2 linked regions of the Saccharomyces cerevisiae S288C genome follow. Changing the gene in region 1 together with any one later gene gives a genetic interaction. Each region holds a gene or a part of one and is shown on either strand. Other genes may lie near its edges.

Region 1 (3,250 bases):
GAAACGATATGTATGAATCAGAATATCAAGCATGGATATATCATTGCGCTCAAACTTAGTCAAATTCCTTTGTTTTCTTAGTTTGTTATGACTCCCTTGACGTAATTATTCTTGCATTAATTTTGAGCTTCTGTAAACTTCATTGTTCCAATGGATCATTATATATTAACAACGTTGGCATATACGTGACCGCAATTTGAACTACCTACATTTAACATACTTTTGTAGAGGAAAGAGGCTGTTTGTTCTTTAACCATGATTATACCAATTTAACCTTTTTTTTTTTTTTGATAGTGAACTGCATACTAGTCAGGTAATTGAATTCCTGGTACAGAGATTCATCAAGACATCCGTGTCGGCAACGTTGTACTAAATGAAAAGGTCCTTTGTCTTACGAACTAGACAGAATAAAATGTATCGTGCGGCAGTATAGAACCGTATTACAAATGCTGATGCATTCGCAAACAAATTTCTTGTAGAAATTATAATTCGAACAAAAATCCTCTCACTATTCAAAAATCGGAAGTCAGTAAAAATTGATTGTTGGCTACATGTAATATATTATATGGAACTAATACATATCTATACTCATTTTACTTGGTAAAAAGTGTCACACCTACATCAAAATCACACTGAAAACAAAATATTCTAAACAATGCTTTCACTGATGTTTTTTCTTTGCTATTTTCTTTTGATGGGTTCTTAAATGCCTTAACATGTTACTCTTGACATTGAAAGATTTGTTGCAATGCTCCCAAGTACATTTGAAAGGTGTGTCTCCCGTATGTATTAAGTAATGAGTCCTCAGTGTTGAAGGTCTCGAACAAACCTTCCCACAGATAGGACATTGTTTCCGTAGCTTTACCACAGCGCGCAGTTGCTTTTGTATAAGATCTAAGTCGGTTTGTGTTTGGGATAATAGCGTCCCAGGATTTTGCCCTATATGCACATTCGGGAGGGAGTACTGCTCGTTGCTCACCGCTCTGTGGTTTTCCTCCTGAAAATGCTGCATTGATGGAGGTACAGATTGGGCAGTATAAGAGGAAGCTGCCGTTGAATAAATAGGGCAACAAGATTGACGTTCAACGAACGTTAAAGGGAAAGGTTGCGGTGTTGCTATAACCGGCGAAAAGATAATAGAGTTGGGACTTGATCTCCATACGGGATCCTCTGTCTGATGCAGAGAAGAAGGTGCGTAATGGTAAGCGGGAGGTGGTAGTGCGGCCTGGTTTATTTCAGGAGTAAGTGGAGCGTGCATAATCGACGAACAAGGTGGAAGATGCACTTCCCTTTTGGTCGTGTTCGAGACTTCCTTTGAAGATTGCGCATAGGATCCCCCTATGTTAGACGATGAACATTTCATTGGGCTACAAAGCATAGATTCTAGCGTTTTTGTTCTCCACATTTAATTAGTGTTGAAGATGAAAATTTATGTATATTAAAAGTTAGAAACGGGTCAATGAAGACGTTTGCTTATCGTATTGGATCCTTGCAATGCCCTCCAAAAAGAAGAAAAAAGTTGGACCAAGAAAACAATTATAATTTTGTAATTTGAAATATCTACCAATGAGGTCAAAAGAGCGACAACAACTAGCGCTTATATAATATAAAGAATTCTTGGGACTGTATCTCATGGCAACCAAATGCCGTTCATATTTAGGGTTTCAGTGGGAAAAGATTTCCGGTGCTTTACGCTCCTTGTACAAACAAGTGCTGCGAAACTTTCTGTGGAAATCGTGCCTTTTAAACCATTAGTGAAGGCTCCAGATAGAGTTGTCACAGAAAACAGCGTGGCGGACTTATTTTTTTGCAACGATTTTCTGGAAACAATAGAGGAAGAATTTTTGGCGTACGAAAAGGAACGATGCCCCCAACACCTCAACAATACTACGGAAGTTTCTTCGAGCGGAAAAACATCGAAATACTAGCTGTTTCTGGATATGAGAGTGGGTATGCGTGGCAATGGAACTCAGGGAGTTGTTGCTATTTCAGTGAGTACGATGGATCAGGGTGTTTATATCTCAAGAACTACCAAGTTGAAGAGATGAAACGTAGTTCGCTTGATAGCACATAAATGGACGGCTGACTTGTTGTACACCATATATATATATATATATATATAATTTTACGGCTCACTTCTGTACCGCTTGTGAAAATCTTACCGCACAACCCCCGGTGTTCTATTAGCTTTGTTCGATTTTATTAATCTTTGCCAAGAGATACTACTCTCCGGGTTCTGGTGGAGACAATAGTATGTCCTAGCAGCTAGACAAAAAAGCCTTCAAATGGTCTACGTGCGGTGCAATTTTTCTTGGAGAAGTTCTATATTGTCTAACAGATACTTGGAACTGAGCAAGTTGTCAGAATAGTCGGAGAAGCGGACGGAAAATCCATATTATGCAAAGAATTTGCTTAGAAACCCGTTACATATGCTTCGAACAAAGTGACTACATGTTACAATTAAGACGCCTACTTAAACTGCAATGAATAGTCACCCATAGGTATAAGAAAAAAAAAAAAAATAAAAGAGTACATAATATACATACAACTAAAATTAAAATGCATAGAAACCTAAGAAAAAATATTTGTTATACCAAAAAAAATACCACAAATGATACGTAAGAAGATTATTGCAACATGGGGACTCTTTCGCATACAACTGTAAACAGACTTGAGGAAGGAGGGGAATCCCCTCAGGAGTACCTGACATCTATGAGTAGGTTTCAATCAAAGTATCACGTAGGTTACCTGAAATGGATTCTGGTTGGGCATCTTGCAAGCGGAAAATACTTTCAATAACACTCAATTCTGGGGCTGTAGTATCCAGACCTGTAACTGCCAAGTAATCGTTCACAACCATACCGGCACCGACAACTGAACTACCACGGTTAACGGTACCAGCCACCAAAGGAACTTGTAATAAGGAGGACAATTCTTCTTGATCTTGGACACTTGTTTGTGGATGCACTAACCCACCTTGATTACTTAAAGAACAATATGACCCAACTAAGATATTACCTGATATGGTTTGACGGAAGACCTCAACGCCTAGTACATCACTTATCAATTCTTCAGTTTCTCTGTCGATATCTGGATGCACTAAAGCAACGTAATCATTACAACAGATGACGTTACCCAAGGCAGATAGTCTTTCCTCTACCCTTTGAATCTTAACGGAATCCGGCAAACTATTTCTTAAATGTTGTAATTCTTGATCAGTAGTTTGGGTTGGAACTAGCAGACCTCTACG
Region 2 (3,761 bases), on another chromosome or scaffold:
GGGTTCAAGAGACCAAAATCGCCGGTTATCCAATTCTCTTTTTTCCTTGTGTTTAGATATAGTTGTAAAAGCTTGGTAAGCGTCCTTGTAGTATTATTTAAAGTTTCTGGGCATCTATATAAATAGACCCAAACTAATCTGGATAAACCAACTGCAAAGATAATCCTTTCATTCAGACTTTTGGACTTAACTTTTGAGGCATTTGCCTCCAACAACGATAGCCATTGTTTAGAAAATAGGTCTGGTGGTGATGCACACAAAATAGAAACTGTTAATTTGAAACCACTTACCCAATACTTACTATCAGCTTGTAGCCTCTTGGCAGTGTTCAGTAAAGTAGACATTGCCTCTACCCACGTTGGATGATTAACTTCTGCCGTCAACGAGCCAGCCAAAGGCAACAATAGCTGGTTAGTGACTTCAGCATACGCCAAACAAACCGGAAAATTTTCAGTCTTTGCGAAGAACTTTGATAAACTTTTCATGAAATCTGCACTTTCTTCAAATTTCTCCAACGGATAATTTCTTAACTTCAAATATCTCATACCAAGAATCAACAAATGAGTACTTGGCTCTAACTCGGGAGGTATATACGCCGGGATTTTTTCTAGATCAGCTATAAATCGATCACTAACTGACAAAAATTTCTTTTCAGACATAGAGCCCAGTAGTTCGGCAAAAGAATTCCAATTCGAAGACTTAATTAAACTAGTTGATATAGAAAGTGGATCAGTAGTTTTTAACTGAGTAAAAACAATCTCTTCTAGCTTATCAGATAAATCTTCTTCTTCATTGCTGGAAGCCTGCTTAACAATTTCATTTAGCACCCTGCATAGGATGTATATACTAATCAGAGATTTCCTATCTGCAAGGAATGCTTCTTCTTTTGCTACTTCAATTGTGTTCTCTAAACTTTTCAATTGTGAGTTCGCTATGGATGGACTTGAAGTAGCGCTATTGTTACTGCTACTAGCTTTGATTAACGGAACTTTGTTGTTGAAAGATGAGGAAACGTGCCTTTTCATGCCAGGAAGATTATTGGTATTGTTATTATGTTTGTACTTTGAGGTTGTATTACTGGAAGATCTTGATAGCCGCCTATTCATTAAAAAATGAGCCTGCGAGGGATGTGCCTTTTCAAACTCATACTCTTTTAATAGTTTTTCCATTTCTTCTGAAGCAGAGTTGGCCGCTTCAGATTTAGTCTTCCTCCAAAACATCATTGCATCAATCACAGGTTTCGGTTTTTTCTTTGCAATGTGACCTAGAGATTTAATAATTTCATCAAAGCTGGGATCAACGCCTTCACCAAGAATTTCTACAATTGGGGGTTCCGCCATGTCCAACTGCTGTAGACACATATTTAGTTTGTTCTCCGCGTAACGAATAAACTTTGTAAAAAGTATATGAAGAGCATATTCAGAGGGACTTTTCCAATCTGTAGCCATTTGCTGTCTCAAAGTAGTCACGTAGTCCTCTGCTACTGATTTTGCTGTAATGTCCGGCGGTGCTGATTCTTGCATTCTTTGCTGCTTTTGTTCAGGTAGTAGCATTGAAATCTTGTTTTGATCACTTTGCTCCTCAACAAAGGTAGGCGGAAGAGCTTGACCTTCCCCCGTTCCTTGTTGCTGTTGTTGCCGTAAAAGTAATTGATTATTTAGAGAGGTGCCTTCAGACATATCAGTAGGAGATGGAATATCAATAATAGGTGCATCCGTAACGGATTGGTGAAGAGGAAATGTGTTAAGTGGCGCTTCGTTTATTTCCTCCAAGACATCCTGGCCTGAAGGATCAATATCTATTGATATCTGGTTATTGTTGCTAGAACCTTCTGCTTTATTTGTCGGTGGGAAGGTGAAACCAATGCCTTGATCCCTCTGGGGCGGGAAAGTAAATCTCGAGGCCATTTTGATGTATAACAAAACTAAAAAGGGTTATTAAAATGGGAACACAACAAACAACCAGAATTTTCACACTTTAACCAGTCACGTCCTATTATGAAGACCTAAATCCACATTTGCTTTCTCTCTTCATTTGCCTAATCCTTTATCCCAATTTCTACAGTTCTATATGTATTTTCCTGTGTGGCTGTCGTTTCGTGGTTAGTGATACAACCATAACGATTCAACCAACTCCCAATGTATGTGATGTTGATACCGCTAATTTGGAAGGGATGGTATACTCTAGGTGACCTCAATGAGTCAAAGAGAGCTAGGACATACTTCGAGATAGGTAATACCACTTTGCAGCTTCTTTTTAGGCCTTCATGAGTGAGTAGCCAAGAAAAAGTTAAAAGCGGGTAATAGGTATGAATTTTTCAAATACTGAAATTTGGTTTAGTTATTTAAGTGAATTGTAGATTATGTACATTTTACGTGCAATGAAGGAGTCACCTCTATGATCATCTAGTTATTAGCTGTTAGTTTTCATTGAACTTGTTTTAACTGGGAAAAAGCGGAACAATTGGGCCTTACAATGACACCAGACGAACTAAATTCAGCAGTCGTCACCTTTATGGCCAATCTGAATATTGATGATTCGAAGGCCAACGAAACCGCTTCCACAGTAACGGATTCTATTGTACACCGATCAATAAAATTGCTGGAAGTTGTCGTTGCGTTGAAAGATTATTTTCTTTCAGAAAATGAGGTAGAAAGGAAGAAAGCGTTGACATGTTTAACCACTATCTTAGCAAAAACTCCCAAGGACCACCTCTCCAAAAACGAATGCTCAGTAATATTTCAGTTTTACCAGTCTAAGCTTGATGATCAAGCGCTTGCAAAAGAAGTCTTGGAGGGCTTCGCCGCATTAGCTCCAATGAAATATGTCTCCATTAACGAGATAGCCCAACTTTTGAGATTATTATTGGACAACTATCAACAAGGCCAGCATTTGGCATCAACTAGACTGTGGCCATTTAAAATTTTGAGAAAAATATTTGATAGATTTTTCGTCAATGGATCCTCGACCGAACAAGTCAAACGAATCAACGATTTGTTTATTGAAACATTTCTTCATGTTGCCAATGGTGAAAAAGACCCTAGAAATTTACTCTTGTCATTTGCACTTAATAAATCTATCACATCGTCCTTGCAAAACGTGGAGAATTTTAAAGAAGACTTATTTGATGTCTTATTTTGCTATTTCCCAATCACTTTCAAGCCACCAAAGCATGATCCTTACAAGATCTCCAACCAAGATTTAAAAACAGCTTTGCGATCAGCAATTACTGCGACGCCATTATTTGCCGAAGATGCTTATAGCAATTTGCTGGACAAACTCACTGCTTCTTCACCGGTAGTGAAAAATGATACACTTCTGACGCTATTAGAATGCGTTAGAAAATTCGGCGGCTCTTCTATATTGGAAAATTGGACGTTACTTTGGAACGCTTTGAAATTTGAAATTATGCAAAACAGCGAAGGAAATGAAAACACTCTACTAAATCCGTACAATAAAGACCAACAGAGTGATGATGTGGGCCAATATACTAACTACGATGCTTGCTTGAAAATTATTAATCTAATGGCATTGCAACTATACAATTTTGACAAAGTATCATTTGAAAAGTTCTTCACTCATGTATTAGATGAGTTGAAACCAAATTTTAAATATGAAAAGGATTTGAAGCAAACCTGCCAGATTTTGTCCGCTATAGGTAGTGGGAATGTCGAGATATTTAACAAGGTCATTTCGTCAACTTTCCCCTTATTTTTGATCAATACATCTGAAGTTGCCAAACTTAAGCTGCTGATTATGAA

The links. A genetic interaction does not mean that the proteins touch.
Region 2: mutations in YPR015C (region 1) and TAO3 together harm fitness more than expected from each alone (negative genetic interaction), as found in Saccharomyces cerevisiae (one large-scale study listed by BioGRID).

Annotation. Positions count from the first base shown.
Region 1 is NC_001148.4:589,622-592,871, forward strand, and holds YPR015C (uncharacterized protein), read right to left. Parts: upstream 1,406-3,250; coding exon 662-1,405; downstream 1-661. Other genes in the region: TIF6 (translation initiation factor 6), read right to left, coding at 2,711-3,250.
Region 2 is NC_001141.2:111,331-115,091, forward strand, and holds the start of TAO3 (Tao3p), read right to left. Parts: upstream 1,908-3,761; coding exon 1-1,907. Other genes in the region: MET18 (Met18p), read left to right, coding at 2,476-3,761. UniProt on the Saccharomyces cerevisiae protein: Seems to play a role in cell morphogenesis.